4 linked regions of the Arabidopsis thaliana genome follow. The protein of the gene in region 1 purifies or fractionates together with the protein of each later gene. This does not show direct contact. Each region holds a gene or a part of one and is shown in the gene's direction. Other genes may lie near its edges. The genes, in order: GLYR2, AT2G12200, THFS and AT2G12280.

Region 1 (5,573 bases):
GAAGAAGAAGAATCGAGGTAAGAAGAAGAAATCAGACATAAGAGGAGATGAATCCGGCGGCGAAAAGCAGCTCGGTGAGGGAGAAGATGGGCTTGTTTTGAATCCGAGGACAGACTCGATTTCGATATCGGAAAACAAACCGGAGTTTGTTTGTTTATATCCTTTTACATCGACGAGCAGTGCTACGCAGAGGAAGATTAAGCAGCAATACGATCAGCTTGTTAAATGCAATAATGCCAAAGGATTGACACTAGCTCAGGTCACCTTCTTTACCTTCGGTTATTAACTATTTATGGAAATCAAAATTGGAAAACGTGAATTTGAAACATAAATCCAAGTCTATTAAGCCTGTGATTTCCTTAATTAGCATCCTAAAACCTCTATGTGGTTTATATACCTTTGTGGTGTTTGTTCAATAGCCTATACTAAACTCAGTTGATAAACTAAATGATTTTTGAGTTGGGAGGTTTCAATACTTAATCATCAGCTAAGCTTGCTTCCTTTTGATATATCAGAATGATTTACTTCAATCTAAACTTTGGATTACTATAAAATTCTGCCCAGTTGAGTTTTAGATTCTGATGTTTTCTGGGTTCTTCACTTCTGTAGGTTGGGGAGTTTGCTAATTGTTTGATAGAAGCCAAAAATGAACTACAACACAAGTAAGTTAACACTACCATAACATAATATCATATACTCTCATCCATTTTCTTAGTTCTTCCTACATTTTGAGGACACAGGAATTACAAATAGTTGCTTCCTGTTCTATGCTTTGTTATGTTGATGGTGTGACATGTTGCTTTACTGAGTTAGCCTTTTCTTCTCCGGTGACACTGATTTAAGCCTGATTGTGTCTACTGTAGGTCAGAAGTAATCAAGCGCAAGTTTTCAATAACAAAAGCCCTTCTCTTTAAGGCTGATAGATCTTCCTTTGACCGACTTCGTCAACAGGTGAATTTAGCTTCATCAATTGATTGTCTGATTTTTATCCGTTTGTTGCTTTTGAAGTTAATTGTTTGTGTGTCATCAGATCTATAAGCTGGAGATGGAACAAAAAAGAGTAGAAGAAGATGCACTTGTATATAATTGGCTCCAGCAACAGCTTAAACTCTCACCTGCATACAAAAAGGTTAAAAACCAAACTCAATCACTTGTTTCCAAAGATTGTGTCCTATGTGTCCAAAACCTCAAAAATCTGTTCAATGATGTTTCTGATTCTAGATTAATCTTACTGATTGTTGTTGCTGTCTGATAAACCAGTAGAGTCTTATCTCCTGTATTGGACTCTGTTAGCATAATTGGGACTTCCCTTGAGATTTTTGGTTATCTCTAGTTAAAGCCGTTAATACTCTTTATGATACTACTATAGGTTCTTGAAATAAGCGCTTCCATGGAACTCAAAGACAAATCGAGCACAGAGTTAGACAATCCAGATGATGAATTTTCAGACATTTCCTTCGAAGAGCTATTGGAACAGGAAAAGAAAGACTCGTTTTGGTCAGCATTTCTCTCCATCTCTCCTCAAGCTTATTAGTAAATCTAAATTACTTGCTCATATGAATCTTGCTCCATGTATAGGCCTTTTTGAGTATTTCCGCAATCTTTCTTCATATTGCTTATCCTCTATAACCATCTTACTCTCCACTCTTGTGTTGGTTTTCAGGCATAAAAATGGAAGATTGCGAACTTGCAGAACATGATTTGGTGATTGAAACTGCCGTGAGCTCAGCAGGAAAACTGAATCCTTTTTTGATGTTCTCCTATTTTTGGTGCTGTGTATAGAGAGTTTCCTCCATAGGGATGCGTTTTCTATATAACACATTACCCGGTTTTCAAATCGATTTTTTCAGTTCGGTTTGAATCAAACTGATTCGGTTTATCTGAATTGAGCAAAGTCCAAACGTGCATGAGTATCGTACATAGTGAGGCTTTTTTCGAGAAAAAACACTGTTGATAAAAATATACAAACACAAGCATCATGACTCATGGGGGATAAATGCACTTGAACCGACCGGTACAATTATATCTGCTTGTGAATTAGCTTTAAACCGAAGCATATGCAACGCGGCCAGTGGATTTTGTTCCTCAGTAAAAATCTGTCAGTTTCCGCCTCGAAATGTGAGAATTTCGGCCACAGTCTACTAAACAAACGCACTGGCCAGTGGCTATGCCTTTGGTTTCATTATCTTTTGCTTCATCTTCTTCAAAAGCCATGGCTTTGTGCTCTATCTGTCCTCGCATCCCTCTTCGATTCAGGCCAAAACCCATTTCCCCTTTTCTCTCAAAACCTCAAATTTGTCTCGCTTACAGGGTTTACTCTTCCCTGCAATCTACTACTCCCTCTACCAGAGGTAATTTCTTGCTTTGTATTATGCATACACTGGTTTTCCAGAACTATGAATTACGTTTAAATGGATTAAATTATGAAGTGTCGCTCTCTTTTTAGGACAAAACCCACAAGTTTCGAGAAAGATGATCGAATACTATAATCTCCTTATCTTTATCCTTTTTGGGGTAGTCTTATCTGAGGAATTGTGGTTCGTATGGCAGATGAACTTGGAACTGTTAGCATTGGGTTTCTGGGTATGGGAATCATGGGTTCTCCAATGGCACAGAACCTCATCAAAGCTGGGTAAAAAAGTTTTGATTTTTATGTGTAGACAATCTAATTCACATCAATTTTGCTACTTTACCTCTTTTTGATGTATTGATGATACTTACGTTGATCTTTCTGGGGCTTGGTTGTTAGGTGTGATGTGACTGTATGGAATCGAACTAAGAGCAAATGTGATCCTCTCGTTGGATTAGGAGCAAAGTAAGAGTTCCAATGCTTCTTATAAAGAATGATATTATTTACTCCGAGTGAGGTTTTAGAGCTAACGTAGAAGAAAAATTTAACGATTAAGAAAGTATCTCCCTTTGTTGCAGGTACAAGTCTTCTCCTGAAGAAGTGACTGCAACTTGTGATCTCACATTTGCAATGCTTGCTGATCCTGAAAGTGCAGTGCGTATGTCTCACTTTTGTTTGCGTCTCTTTTTCTTCTACTTTCACTCCATATTAAAACAAAAACTGTATTTTGCTTTCTGTCAGATTGATGTTGCATGTGGAAAGAATGGAGCCATATTTGGGATTAGTTCAGGAAAAGGGTACTTACTCCTTCATGAGACTTATGCTGGATATAACGTTCTATTGCTGAAATGTTTCAAGATATCTGTATTTCTTATGTAACTACAGAAGAGTTCACAGTCGTTCTTTTTTAATTTCTTCTTCGAATCTATATAGTAATGTGGTCGATACTTTCTGGTAAAAATGGGACTTGCCTTGCTACTGCAGGTATGTTGATGTCTCAACCGTTGATGTGGCCTCATCAATACTAATCAGCAAGCAAATAAAGGATACCGGAGCCTTGTTCTTGGAGGTAAAGGCTCTTAGTTAATCTATATCTAGAATCACTAAAAAACCTTGTAACAGATCTGGTGGCTTAAGTCATTTCTATTTTTGATATTCATAGGCACCAGTTTCAGGTTCCAAAAAGCCTGCCGAAGATGGGCAGTTAATATTTCTCACTGCAGGTTCGTAACAGCTTACTCCTCATTGAGCTTGTATTAATAATCGATCATCACTTTTGCATATCAGATTATTTTGTCTTCGCGGGTGACTTGCCTGTATTTTCTAACATGGTTGAATCATGAATGAAATGGAGATTTATGACTATCTGGCACTTGACATTTTAGGTGACAAGCCGCTATACGAAAAAGCTGCTCCTTTCTTAGACATCATGGGAAAGGTATCTCTTTTGCCTGTGTTTTGCTTTTAGTTCTTTTTTCTTCTGCAAATGAACCATTTTCGTTACTAGTTTGCATTATATGATCCAGTCAAAATTCTATTTGGGTGAAGTTGGTAATGGAGCAGCAATGAAACTTGTCGTCAACATGATCATGGGAAGGTATCATTTGACCATCTATCGCTTCATTTCTTGGCAAATTCCAGATTCTTCTTCTGATCTCTTTTTCTCTTTACCTATGCAGTATGATGGCATCATTCGCGGAGGGAATACTTCTAAGCCAGAAAGTTGGACTCGATCCAAATGTACTTGTCGAGGTAACTAAAACACCATTGTCCAGCAGAAAGTTTCTTACCAAATGTGCTATAAACCCCGGGAAATTTTTTTCTGCAGGTTGTCTCACAGGGAGCTATCAATGCGCCAATGTACTCACTAAAGGGTCCTTCAATGATCAAGTCAGTGTACCCGACGGCTTTTCCATTAAAGCATCAGCAGAAGGTTTGTGTAATTGTGTTACTTTCTTTTTTTAGATTCTCACAAAGACTCTGGAGTTTGATGAGACTGTAATTGACTTTTATCCGTCTATAGGATATGAGACTCGCACTTGGACTAGCGGAATCCGTATCGCAATCTACTCCGATTGCAGCCGCTGCGAACGAGCTTTACAAGGTTGCAAAATCTTATGGGTTGAGCGATGAAGATTTCTCTGCAGTAATTGAAGCACTAAAAGCTGCAAAATCCCGAGAAGCTTAGCTAAAGATTTGTTCAATGTGAAAATGTGTTTTTTTTTGCTGTTGTATGAAAAATTTCATCTTTACAACATGTCAATTGATAATTGTTAATTTTATATGAGAGCAAGTTAAAAGTGTCAAACACAAGTCAACCTTTGATCTCCTGATGTTGACAAAAGCAACAAAGAAAAGTGTTTGACCAACGTTGACTACAATAAATACGGCGCCGTTTCGGATATTCCGATGATAAGTTGATAACACCGAATCATTTGTTTCAAAAAATTCTTCAGTGCCTGAAGTGTTAAAATTCTCGCCTGAGCTCGTTGCCGTTTCCACTTCAACCATATTGGTTAGGGTTCTTTCTCTTCCAAGATAAGAAATTTTGAATGTTTGATGTCATAACTTTGAATCAAGTAATCGAAATTGGAGAAAAAAAATTCATTTTTTAAGTTTGGGTTTTCATCATAGACAGACGGAGAAATTAAAAGGTTTTGTTTTGACTCAGCTGCAGTGATCGATGGATTATAACTCAGATCGTGGTTATGATGACTCTTACCATCATCACGTACACGACGAACAATTACCACAATCGGATTTTGAAGTGGAGACCTTTGATGACCGGAGGAACGGTGGTGCAGCCGTTGATACTGGTGGGATTCAGATGAAGCATTCCGTTGACCATCGCCATTCTTCTTCGTCCATGTCTTCTCCTGGGTTCGTGGTTTCTTAGGCTTTATCTTTTTGTATGGATTTACTTTTGATATTAATCTCTTCTCAGCGGAGCTGGTTATTAAGATATTGATGGGGAGGTTTCTTGTGGTGCCTTTTGTCTTTGTTTATGTTAGGAAACTGTTCGTAGGTGGAGTTTCTTGGGAAACAACTGCAGGTATGGTTCATTTTCATCGTCTTAGTCATGTATGCCATTTATGTCTTGAATTGAGCTCGTTGTTGCTGCATCAGTTATCTTGCATCTAGTTTTGTAATTCCCTTGTCTTACTGTAATTGACAATAGAGGAGTCAAGTCACTGTGATTCTGTTATTGGTTATATTTGTTCTT
Region 2 (3,321 bases), on another chromosome or scaffold:
TCATTTTCCTGAAATCAAAGAAAGAGCTTTCTGGCCTCAAGTTGCCTCCTTTTTTCTCATGGTTGCCTCGTATTTCATTGAAGTTCCCTATAGCCATCCAAGGACCTGTTCTTTGTGTTGCTGTTCGTTCTAATCTTTCCCAAACCAAGTGTCTATGGATAGGATTTGGGTGACCATATACACAAGATAAATAGAACCCAAATCCATTAATATTAACAAAAGTATCTACAAGGTTTGGGGATTGATAAAGAACAGAATACAGAAATACTACTTTTCCACATTAAAGCAATTCCACCACTTAGACCATTTGGAGGAACCATTACAACCCTATCATAACCTACATCGCTGCAAATATCTCTGACGATGTCATTCCTTTACTTCGTTTCCATGAGAACAATGATGTCTGGAGAGAATTTCTTCTTTATCTCCTTTAGACGTCGAACTGCGAGGTCATTGCCCAGTCCTCTGCAGTTCCAAGCGGCTGTCCTCATGGAGGAAGAGGGGGTTCTGGGCCCACCGCGCCTCTCCCCACGTCATTCGGCTGAACCGTCTCTCCGGAGCAACCACTGCTTTCCCCAGCCTCACGGATCACCATCTTAGAAGGCTCGTGTTCTTCATCTTCTTCGATGGTGTCCTCTCTCTTGCGTTTGCCCCTATCCGCTGCCACATCCTCACGAACATAGTCTCTGTTCACTCCATTATTTGTTTCCATCTCTCCATGGTACGTGGAGTAACGACATGGCTCCCAATCCTGGAAATCTTCCACGGCTTCATGATGGGCATTCATCACTAATGAGAGTTATTTTATTTATTATTGTCCACGTATTTATTTTGTTTTTAATGTATTTTTTTTTTTTTTTGCCTTTTACAGTTCCTAATCCAGATTTAAATCTGGATATAACCCTATAAATTATAAGATATACTCGTCCACATAATATTATCAAGTTTTTTAGTTTTTTAGAAAATAAAAATCTATTCTAAAATTTGAGAAAATCAAGTGAGATAATTTTGTGCCTCACAAGTCACGAGATTACTTAGCTCGGAAGGGTTTTGGGCTCTACGTGTGAAAGGCATAAGATATTTTAGTTACTTTTATGCTTTACAATTTACATTACTAGAGTACAAACAAAACAACAGCTATCATGGATTTTTATGACATCATCAATTTACGTGTGTCATTTGAGATTTATAATCTTTATTTTATTATCACTTCTATTTTGTTTTAATGAGTTCAAGATCTTTTCTTGAAAGACATATGAAGACTTTAACCCAAAAAGCTAAGTATTGTCTTTGATGAAACTTTGAAATCGAGAAGTTTTCAAAATTTTAAACGATGTCAACCAGTATTTTTTATTTATAAAACAGTATTTTTCTCTAAATATTTGACAAGATTTTTTTACCCCCGCATTAGCTAAAACCCATTTTCGTACATATGTTTACAAACAGTGTCCGCTCAACAATTTCATGGGTGTAGGATAATTTTTTTTTATATTTTGTTATAAAATTTTTTGTATGATAATTTAGTTAACAAAAAAAAAAAAAATGCATTAAAAAAATTATAGGTCCATTCTAAATTTTATTTTTGTGTTATATCTAATTTTTAAAAATATTTTTTAAAAAATATATGTCCCTTAATTGTTAAAACATGGGTTTGGATTCTTGGCTGTCGCACCGCTTGCCCCTCTATTTAAACCGGCACTGTTTACAAATTAAACATTATAGAAAATAATTCTTAAAAACCGGACTAAGTAATGAAAATTTTAAATTACAAAAACGAAGAATACTAGGAAGCTAGAACTAGGGAAGAAAACTTGAAGCACCACATTAGTCAAAGAGATCGAAGAAAGAAGCCATTCTCTAAGAAAATTTACCATTAAGATTGACTATGCACTTTATTTAAAACACTTGCCAATATATCTTTTTCAAAAGTTTTTTTTTCATAACTCATATTAAGACTTTCATCTTCAAATTAAAGGGGGATGAGCTTTCCGGATGATACTTAGACCTGAGTTGAGTCAAAATCGCATCTCCCTACAAACAAGTTCATCATAAACCAGTCGTAGGGTCCAAAGACTTTCACGATCCATTAAACTGACATCTTAGTGTTCAAAGATATTTTTCTTGGTGTTCTAAAACATATATCTTCTGAACATGGCTCAATTGTGACTCCTCTCAAGAAAATTTAAAGGACTTGGGGGAGGACTATATTATTATTTTTAGTTCCCCTTAAATATCCACATAATAATTACTGTTTGTTGTTTTCTTTTTAATTCAAACATACACCATTCCAAAGAGACCTTTGATAGTTTTCTTTACTAAAATATTATTGAAAATTACTTATAAGATTTATTATTAACATGTTTTAGATTGAAAATTGCTCATACAGGCACATAAACAGATTGAGATGTACACACAACAAGGCTTCTCGAATCTTCCCATATGCATGTCGAAAACGCAGTACTCATTCTCACATGATACATCAAAGAAAAGAGCACCTTCAGGGTTTGTATTGCCAATTCGGGATGTTAGAGGAAGCATTGGAGCTGGTTTCATATACACTACAAAAAAAGTCCTCATTGATAGCAGTAGAGGATAGCTCATTTTCCTCAACTGCTATAAAAGATGAATAAAATTTTTGGTTACTTTTTAATAGCACCTTATAAACGCTAAGACCGTAAATCCTCTAGCGGGAATGTAAAATACTTTAGTCCGCCAACACTTAGGTAAAATTATTCACTTCAGCGCCAACACTTAAGCAAAACTATTCACTTCCCTCTACAGCTTCGTGAAAACCTAAGAAAATCGAGAAGACCAAAATTATTCACTTTTGCCTTAGATCTGTCGAATCCACTCCCAAAATCGATTCAACCTAAAAGCTAAGATCTGTCGCTGGCCAGAAATTCGGATTCTCCGCCGCCACATTCTCCAGCTCAGCCACCGTTGAGCTCAAATTCAAGGTTAGTCTTTCTTCCTTATTCCTTATTAATCCATTTCAGCTTCCATCTTTCTCGCATTTTGACCTAATCTCATAGAATCGACTTTCATTTTGCAGCCACCAGTGAGCTCTAACCTTGTCGCAGCCACCAGTGAGCTCTAACCTTGTCGCAGCCACCACTGAGCTCAAAATCAAGGCATGTCTTACTCTCAATTTGACCTAGTTCTTTGTGACGATTTGATTTTGGGGTTTATATGCATCGATTTGTTATATTTAGGGCAATGTGATTTGAATGGAATTAGGAAGTGAAACTTTTCTTTTTTCTTATACTGATTATCGTTTTGGGGTTTATATGCATCGATTTGTGATTTGATTTAGAGTTCTTA
Region 3 (5,892 bases), about 13 Mb from region 1:
TACCGAAACCAGAAGATCGATATACCTTGTGTATTTATCTTCTCCAACAATGTATATCTTGTTGTATATGACTTTCTCACCGCAAACAGCAACTTTCTTCTCTTCGTCAATGTGGAAACTTAGGGAACTCGAAAACAAACAACCATGGGGTTTTAAATCCACTGTCTCAATCTCATTGGTCACCCTTATATCCATCTTTAGTTTCTTTGCACTCTGATATAATAAGGAGAGATGTTCTTCTCTAACAACTGAGAGAGCCTTAATATCATTTACTTCTGCAGCTTCTTGATGAAAGGGCACACATAGTAGTTGAAACCTCTCTGTTGAAAAAAACAAAACTGAGCAATGAGTAACCATTTCCCTTCAACGACTTGCCAGTGGATACTAAGTCGTCTTCGGGAGAGACGACATCAAGAAACTCCTCCATAAATTAGAGCTAAAATCATAGACTTCCAAGCATATATCTATAAACCTCAAGATTTTGTAGTTATGGCACAAGTCCTTGTTATTGTAACCGAGAGCATAGACCTCGAATATCTTGTCATGACGATTTATCGGTTGGATCCATATGGTTTTCTTCTAGAATGGGTCCCAAACCACAATGGTAGGTTCAAAGAAACTATCTTAACAAAAATGTCCTCCAATGGTAGGTTCTCAAGAAAAAAAAAATCAAATTTTTGCAAGACAATATCTTTCAATACAAATACAAGTATTCATACAACCAAACTCATACAAGTTTTGGTATCTATCACTTTCATTAAACTTGTCTCTTGCATGCTGCTTCTCTTCTTCTTCTCAATATCACTTTTCACTAAACCTACCACTTTCCCTAAATTTGTGTTTGACACACTTTCCCGGAAAAAGATTTCTGCAAAAAAGGTTTCAGCATCATTGATAGCATCGAGCTCCTCCTTTGGAATAGCCCTTTTCTGTTTATTATTCTCAGCAGCATCATCATATCATTGTTATTTGGGATTTTCTTCTCTTTATGTTCTTCTTTCTTTTCTGTTTCAACTTGATCTACTACATTTGTATTGCTTTTAAACTACGTTATCTATCACACAATAAGAATGTCAAACCCATCCTAAATCAAAATTCTGATTCTCTTTGGTTGCATCCATTTTATCTTCTTTAGGAAATGGATGGATAACTTTATATTAAATGACGTCGTTTCTTTGCCTCATTTTGGGTCAGAAAATGCTAAAGCTGTAAGCCCATTTTATGTTAATGGACTAATATGACATCGATTTCACTATGTAAGATACGCAAAGAAGGCTTAGTCCTAGACATATTCCATAGGGCTTTTATATAGATTGCTTAAAATATATATTGCTTCAAGGTTACTGATTCATCAATAGTTGACCCTCTCGTGCCTCTTCAATTCTAAGTCTAAAACTCTATACACCATATCTGTCGAGAGGAAAAATTGGCACCATTTATCAAGACACCTCGGAATCCGTTCACCCCAATACATTATACATGTTGACAAAAACTATCATCGTTGTATAATAAAATAGTATTGGTGCAATGAAAATGATGGTTTAAATGAAAAGAAATGTGGCTTCCTGTAAATCTATAGAAACTGTATTGGAATAGTTCAAAAACAACAGTATTTTATTAAAAATAACAAATTTAATAGTACAGTCTTAAGAAGTATTATGTAAAGATTAAAGAAAATTGGTAGCCTAACAAATCCGAGTTCCATTCTCTTTTCTAGTATAGTACTAGTTTAAATTGACGACAACAGTGGGCCAAACTAAACTATAGTGGCTGCGCTTATAGATCGAGGGCGAAACCGTCATTTTCTGGCCTTCAATAATTATGTGTGTTGAAAATATATTTATTAAGAGGTGAAAAAGAGGGAAAAAAACAAAAACGTCATCGTTCTCATTGGTTAATATGGATAATGATCTAAACATGTATTTGCTACTTACTGTAATATATTAGGATGTGCTTTAAAGTTTTATAAAACATCATCAATTCATCAGAGTCCCTCATCCATCTTCTCATCCTCCAACGCGAGATCAGACTTCGACAGAGAGTGCGATGAGTTCATCAACAAGAAAGCTTGAGGTTGTTTCACCAGTTCCCGCCGATATCGACATAGCTAATTCCGTCGAGCCTTTACACATCTCTGAGATTGCCAAAGATCTTAATATCAACCCTCTTCACTACGATCTCTATGGCAAGTATAAAGCTAAGGTAATCATCATTTTTCCCTTTTGTTCATTTCCCTTTGAAAATTAAATTATTCATCTGAATCTTCCTCTGTCTCTATGTTGTTGTCGGTACAAGGATCCAAAAGAACTCCGTTTTTGGTTATAAGATACTATTATGTTCGAATTGGTTTCGATCAAACTTAAATAAATTTTCAAGAGATTGTTAATGATTGAGTTTTTGGAGCTTGAGTAGGCAGTTACGTAAGCTCAAAGTTTATAACTTTCGATTGATTTTGGATTCATATTACCATTTTCCTACCAAGTAGCTCTCTTTTCTTGTTAATTTGCTGTTACTTCTTTTTTGTCGGTGGGCAAGATTGATACTTTAGTTTCACCAAAAACATCAGAAGCTGGTTAAACCAATGGTTCAGTGTTCTGAGCTAATCAACTGATGATTTGTTCTTGTAGGTTTTGTTGTCTGCGTTTGATGAGCTTCAAGGACAAGAAGATGGATACTATGTTGTTGTTGGAGGGATTACTCCTACTCCTCTTGGAGAAGGCAAGAGTACTACCACTGTTGGACTTTGCCAAGCCTTAGGCGCTTACCTCGATAAGAAGGTTCTCTCTTGCTTTCATTTATTAGCTTATGCCTTATGCTTGCTTTTGGACAAACTTCTCTCTTTGTATTGATTTGTGAAGTGTTGTTGCTTAGGTTGTTACTTGTCTTCGCCAACCGTCACAAGGACCCACCTTTGGAATCAAAGGAGGTGCAGCTGGTGGTGGGTATAGTCAGGTGATTCCTATGGATGAGTTCAATCTTCATCTCACTGGAGATATTCACGCGATTACCGCTTCCAACAACCTCTTAGCTGCTGCAATCGACACTCGGATTTTCCATGAGACGTCTCAATCCGACAAGGCTCTTTTTAATAGGCTGTGCCCTCCGAATAAAGAAGGGAAGCGTAGTTTCAGTGACATTATGTTCAGGAGATTGACAAAGCTTGGGATATCCAAGACCAGTCCTGAGGAGCTTACTCCCGAGGAGATAAAGAAGTTTGCGAGGCTTGATATTGATCCTGCTTCTATCACTTGGAGAAGAGTGATGGATGTTAATGATCGGTTCTTGAGGAAGATTACTATTGGTCAGGGACCTGAGGAAAAGGGGATGACTAGAGAAACTGGTTTTGACATTTCTGTTGCTAGTGAGATTATGGCTGTTTTGGCTTTGACAACCTCACTAGGTGATATGAGAGAGAGGCTTGGTAAAATGGTGATTGGTAACAGCAAGGCAGGGGATCCGATAACAGCAGATGATCTCGGTGTTGGAGGAGCCTTGACTGTTCTGATGAAAGACGCTATTAACCCGACACTCATGCAGACACTGGAAGGGACCCCTGTTCTAGTGCATGCTGGTCCTTTTGCAAATATAGCTCATGGAAATTCATCGATTGTTGCTGATAAAATCGCTTTGAAGCTGGTGGGACCTGGTGGATTTGTGGTAACTGAAGCGGGTTTTGGTTCTGATATTGGAACAGAGAAGTTCATGAATATTAAGTGCCGTTACAGTGGGCTAACGCCTCAGTGTGCAATTGTTGTGGCGACTGTTAGGGCTTTGAAAATGCATGGAGGTGGGCCTGATGTTGTTGCCGGGAGACCTCTTGATCGTGCTTATGTAAGCGAGAATGTTTCCTTAGTTGAAGCTGGCTGTGTGAATCTGGCAAAGCACATCTCAAACACAAAGGCCTACGGTGTGAATGTAATTGTTGCTGTGAATATGTTCGCAACAGATACCGAAGCAGAACTAAATGCAGTTAGGAAATTTTCAATGGATGCCGGTGCTTTTGATGCTGTGGTCTGCTCCCACCATGCTCATAGTGGTAAAGGAGCGGTAATCTTCTCTATTCGAGACCAACACTATGTGATTATATGCAATTTTGTTTGCAATCTCATCTTATTGATAGATGAATTGTTCTTGTAAATGTTATAGGTGGATCTTGGTATCGCGGTTGAAAAAGCTTGTCAAAACATTACACAGCCCCTCAGGTTTCTCTACCCATTGGACATTGGTATCAAAGACAAAATTGAGGCAATAGCTAAGTCATATGGAGCCAGTGGTGTTGAATATTCAGACCAGGTGATTGATTCCTAGACCGACTTCTTCAATTTCTTTGCATTGTTGTCAAAAGAAACCTGTTTATGTAACTTATCTATTATCCTGTGATATGTAAAATACAGGCAGAGAAACAGATTGAGATGTACACACAACAAGGCTTCTCGAATCTTCCCATATGCATGTCGAAAACACAGTACTCATTCTCACATGATGCATCAAAGAAAGGAGCACCTTCAGGGTTTGTATTGCCAATTAGGGATGTAAGAGGAAGCATTGGAGCTGGTTTCATATATCCACTGGTTGGTACAATGAGTACAATGCCTGGACTTCCTACAAGACCTTGTTTCTACGAGATTGATATTGACACTGAAACTGGAAAAGTTCGTGGCCTTTCTTAAGTTTGGTAGATCTGTCAAAGCTTCAAGGCTTTCCTTCATCGTCGTTTCTCACTTCCACAATAAAAATTTGGCGATTGTACTTTGATACTGAGTGTTTTTCCATTTTAAGATGAATAATAATAAAGTATCTTTTCCTTTTGATTAATCTCTGAAATACTACTCATTATTTGAACTCAAGGTAACGTTACAGATAGAACTTCTGATGTTCAAAAACAAAGAATAAAGCAAATGAATGACAGTGTTTTCTTCTGAAAAATCGTTTTATGTGAAATCATCAGAGGCATTGGAGATTTATGAATCAGAACAGCTTGCAGAAATCATGCACTTGGAGGCTTGTAAAGCTTCTCAACCATCTTCCTGTACTCTGCGTATGGAGAAACAAAAGAGACATAAGAAACTCATAACTGTGGTACTCTAAAGAAGTTTGATTTCATAACGACTGTTAAATCCCCTGTCTGTTTACCTTCTTGGTTACTCCAAAGCTGAGCTGCTTGAGTGTTCAATGGTGAACTGATGTTCGGTTCTGATCAACGAAAACATGTATCAGATATTGGATTAACCAACAAAAAGGGCTAACAAGAAATCAAAAGTTATGCACCATAGAATACCTCCCAGGAGGCTCTGAATCGATAGTAGTATCGTCCTCACATCGTAAGCAGATGACCACTTATCCTGCAAATATGAAAATGTTGTAAACGGATTAACTTTGGCACGTCTTCTCTGATTCAGTGTAGAACAAAGACACAAGAGGAAGGTATATTTTTACCTGAAGAATGTCTAAGCAGATATTGCCATAGACATCAACATTGGGGTGGAAGCAACATGTCTCAAACTTAACCTTTGGAGGCTTGAAAGGATAGTCATTGGAGAAAGAGAGTGAGAGTCTGTACTCAGTTCCTTCAAACACAGTATCTTTGCTTCCTGTTATTGTCCCTTTCCAGCAGAATATGTTGTCTTCCTCAGGGAAAGCCGATATTCCTGGACCACCGCCCATCTGAAAACAACCAAGTCAAGAACCCTATGAGCAAATCTTTACTATAGAAACTTGTTCACTAAAAAGGAAGAAAGATGATAACTTACCATCAAGCCCATCAATTCAGATTGCAGTCTGCGTTTAATCAAAGAAAAGCCTAGATTAGGAATCTGGGATTTACTGAACTCATGATTAAAAAACCGAAACTTTGAGCAATAAAATGTAGATCTGATTCAAGATGAATACAAA
Region 4 (3,407 bases), on another chromosome or scaffold:
ACAGAATACAGAAATACTACTTTTCCACATTAAAGCAATTCCACCACTTAGATCATTTGGAGGAACCATTACAACCCTATCATAACCTACATCGCTGCAAATATCTCTGACGATGTCATTCTTTTACTTCGTTTCCATGAGAACAATGATGTCTGGAGAGAATTTCTTCTTTATCTCCTTTAGACGTCGAACTGCGAGGTCATTGCCCAGTCCTCTACAGTTCCAAGCGGCTGTCCTCATGGAGGAAGAGGGGGTTCTGGGCCCACCGCGCTTCTCCCCACGTCATTCGGCTGAACCGTCTCTCCGGAGCAACCACTGCTTTCCCCAGCCTCATGGATCACCATCTTAGAAGGCTCGTGTTCTTCATCTTCTTCGATGGTGTCCTCTCTCTTGTGTTTGCCCCTATCCGCTGCCACATCCTCACGAACATAGTCTCTGTTCACTCCATTATTTGTTTTCATCTCTCCATGGTACGTGGAGTAACGACATGGCTCCCAATCCTGGAAATCTTCCACGGCTTCATGATGGGCATTCATCACTAATGAGAGTTATTTTATTTATTATTGTCCACGTATTTATTTTGTTTTTAATGTATTTTTTTTTTTTTTGCCTTTTACAGTTCCTAATCCAGATTTAAATCTGGATATAACCCTATAAATTATAAGATATACTCGTCCACATAATATTATCAAGTTTTTTAGTTTTTTAGAAAATAAAAATCTATTCTAAAATTAGAGAGAAAATCAAGTGAGACAATTTTGTGCCTCACAAGTCACGAGATTACTTAGCTCGGAAGGGTTTTGGGCTCTACGTGTGAAAGGCATAAGATATTTTAGTTACTTTTATGCTTTACAATTTACATTACTAGAGTACAAACAAAACAACAGCTATCATGGATTTTTATGACATCATCAATTTACGTGTGTCATTTGAGATTTATAATCTTTACTTTATTATCACTTCTATTTTGTTTTAATGAGTTCAAGATCTTTTCTTGAAAGACATATGAAGACTTTAACCCAAAAAGCTAAGTATTGTCTTTGATGAAACTTTGAAATCGAGAAGTTTTCAAAATTTTAAACGATGTCAACCAGTATTTTTTATTTATAAAACAGTATTTTTCTCTAAATATTTGACAAGATTTTTTTACCCCCGCATTAGCTAAAACCCATTTTCGTACATATGTTTACAAACAATGTCCGCTCAACAATTTCATGGGTGTAGGATAATTTTTTTTTATATTTTGTTATAAAATTTTTTGTATGATAATTTAGTTAACAAAAAAAAAAACAATGCATTAAAAAAATTATAGGTCCATTCTAAATTTTATTTTTGTGTTATATCTAATTTTTAAAAATATTTTTAAAAAAATATATGTCCCTTAATTGTTAAAACATGGGTTTGGATTCTTGGCTGTCGCACCGCTTACCCCTCTATTTAAACCGGCACTGTTTACAAATTAAACATTATAGAAAATAATTCTTAAAAACCGGACTAAGTAATGAAAATTTTAAATTACAAAAATGAAGAATACTAGGAAGCGAGAACTAGGGAAGAAAACTTGAAGCACCACATTAGTCAAAGAGATCGAAGAAAGAAGCCATTCTCTAAGAAAATTTACCATTAAGATTGACTATGCACTTTATTTAAAACACTTGCCAATATATCTTTTTCAAAAGTTTTTTTTTCATAACTCATATTAAGACTTTCATCTTCAAATTAAAGGGGGATGAGCTTTCCGGATGATACTTAGACCTGAGTTGAGTCAAAATCGCATCTCCCTACAAACAAGTTCATCATAAACCAGTCGTAGGGTCCAAAGACTTTCACGATCCATTAAACTGACATCTTAGTGTTTAAAGACATTTTTCTTGGTGTTCTAAAACATATATCTTCTGAACATGGCTCAATTGTGACTCCTCTCAAGAAAATTTAAAGGACTTGGGGAGGACTATATTATTATTTTTAGTTCCCCTTAAATATCCACATAATAATTACTGTTTGTTGTTTTCTTTTTAATTCAAACATACACCATTCCAAAGAGACCTTTGATAGTTTTCTTTACTAAAATATTATTGAAAATTACTTATAAGATTTATTATTAACATGTTTTAGATTGAAAATTGCTCATACAGGCACATAAACAGATTGAGATGTACACACAACAAGGCTTCTCGAATCTTCCCATATGCATGTCGAAAACGCAGTACTCATTCTCACATGATGCATCAAAGAAAGGAGCACCTTCAGGGTTTGTATTGCCAATTCGGGATGTTAGAGGAAGCATTGGAGCTGGTTTCATATATCCACTGGTTGGTACAATGAGTACAATGCCTGGACTTCCTACAAGACCTTGTTTCTATGAGATTGATATCAGTCAAAGCTTCAAGGCTTCCCTTCACCGTCGTTCCTCACTTCCTCAATAAAAATTTGGCGATTGTACTTTGATACTGAGTGTTTTTCCTCTTTGAAATGAATAATAATAAAGTATCTTTTCCTGTTGATTAATTAATCTCTGAAATACTCATTATTTGAAGTTGAACTCAAGGTAACGTTACACATAGAACTTGTGATGTTCAAAAACAAAGCATAAAGCAAATGAGTGACAATGTTTTCTTTTGAAAAATCGTTTTATGTGAAATCATCAGAGGCATTGGAGATTTATGAATCAGAACATCTTGCAGAAATCATGCACTGAGAGGCACAAATTGGATGCCATGCCGAAATGAGGGCATCTCGATTCACGTATTGTGGGCCGAATAGTAAGGCCCATGGAAGATTAAAGTCAATTCAAATTCGAACGTTGAAAGCATTAAATCCAAAGACGGAAACGGAAGAGTTAAAAGAGAATTATGGTGTATAATTAAGAATAATTACTAGGTTTTTGTATAAATAAGAGAGGTCTTGGACCATGTAAGACACCCACAATTTTTCTAGCAATTTTCGATAGTCATTTTGATATCAATTTTTAGCTTTTACATTTTATCTTTGTCCTCAAAAATTAATCCATCTCACAAAACAAATAAATACTTGAGCGTGTGAATCCGACATCCACAACACTTTTGCCTGAAAAAATAATTAACATAAATGTAAAGTATCCTAACTTTCCCATTTTAAATAATATTGTTTATTCAAACTATCTTTAAAAAGTTTTGACAAATATACACCCAAAAGTATATTTTTGAAAAATCTAAAGTTGTAAGGTAATAAGGTAATATATCTAAGGTAGACTAAAGATATATTGAATAACAAATAAAAAATCTAAAGTTTTTAAATGACTCAAAATTGGACGGTATAGATGAATTCTAACGCCTATCATCTATATATATATACGACAAGGGTCTTTCTTATTTATCTCGATAACCAAACTATCCTCAGCTTGTGTAATCCTCATTTTGCCCCTGACT

Evidence for each region.
Region 2: the proteins of GLYR2 (region 1) and AT2G12200 fractionate together in Arabidopsis thaliana (co-fractionation; one large-scale study listed by BioGRID). This does not show direct contact.
Region 3: the proteins of GLYR2 (region 1) and THFS fractionate together in Arabidopsis thaliana (co-fractionation; one large-scale study listed by BioGRID). This does not show direct contact.
Region 4: the proteins of GLYR2 (region 1) and AT2G12280 fractionate together in Arabidopsis thaliana (co-fractionation; one large-scale study listed by BioGRID). This does not show direct contact.

What each region holds. Positions count from the first base shown.
Region 1 is NC_003070.9:6,068,559-6,074,131, reverse strand, and holds GLYR2 (glyoxylate reductase 2), read left to right. Parts: upstream 1-2,002; 5' UTR 2,003-2,167; coding exon 2,168-2,351; intron 2,352-2,446; exon of another isoform or gene 2,447-2,543; coding exon of another isoform or gene 2,544-2,550; coding exon 2,551-2,632; intron 2,633-2,749; coding exon 2,750-2,815; intron 2,816-2,928; coding exon 2,929-3,004; intron 3,005-3,091; coding exon 3,092-3,147; intron 3,148-3,334; coding exon 3,335-3,419; intron 3,420-3,512; coding exon 3,513-3,573; intron 3,574-3,735; coding exon 3,736-3,788; intron 3,789-3,876; coding exon 3,877-3,947; intron 3,948-4,029; coding exon 4,030-4,102; intron 4,103-4,178; coding exon 4,179-4,283; intron 4,284-4,373; coding exon 4,374-4,538; 3' UTR 4,539-4,708; downstream 4,709-5,573. Other genes in the region: AT1G17665 (CA-responsive protein), read left to right, coding at 1-259, 610-662, 864-951, 1,031-1,129, 1,370-1,497, 1,664-1,700; AT1G17640 (RNA-binding (RRM/RBD/RNP motifs) family protein), read left to right, coding at 5,034-5,230, 5,362-5,402. UniProt on the Arabidopsis thaliana protein: Catalyzes the NADPH-dependent reduction of glyoxylate to glycolate as well as succinic semialdehyde (SSA) to gamma-hydroxybutyrate in vitro.
Region 2 is NC_003071.7:4,898,247-4,901,567, forward strand, and holds AT2G12200 (P-loop containing nucleoside triphosphate hydrolases superfamily protein), read left to right. Parts: upstream 1-2,366; 5' UTR 2,367-2,404; coding exon 2,405-2,569; intron 2,570-2,671; coding exon 2,672-2,698; downstream 2,699-3,321.
Region 3 is NC_003070.9:18,700,018-18,705,909, forward strand, and holds THFS (10-formyltetrahydrofolate synthetase), read left to right. Parts: upstream 1-1,864; 5' UTR 1,865-2,046; coding exon 2,047-2,202; intron 2,203-2,627; coding exon 2,628-2,777; intron 2,778-2,871; coding exon 2,872-4,047; intron 4,048-4,146; coding exon 4,147-4,293; intron 4,294-4,394; coding exon 4,395-4,670; 3' UTR 4,671-4,921; downstream 4,922-5,892. Other genes in the region: AT1G50470 (F-box associated ubiquitination effector family protein), read right to left, coding at 1-275, 355-427; UBC20 (ubiquitin-conjugating enzyme 20), read right to left, coding at 4,988-5,034, 5,134-5,193, 5,279-5,342, 5,437-5,664, 5,751-5,778.
Region 4 is NC_003071.7:4,920,171-4,923,577, forward strand, and holds AT2G12280 (P-loop containing nucleoside triphosphate hydrolases superfamily protein), read left to right. Parts: upstream 1-2,111; 5' UTR 2,112-2,153; coding exon 2,154-2,426; 3' UTR 2,427-2,509; downstream 2,510-3,407.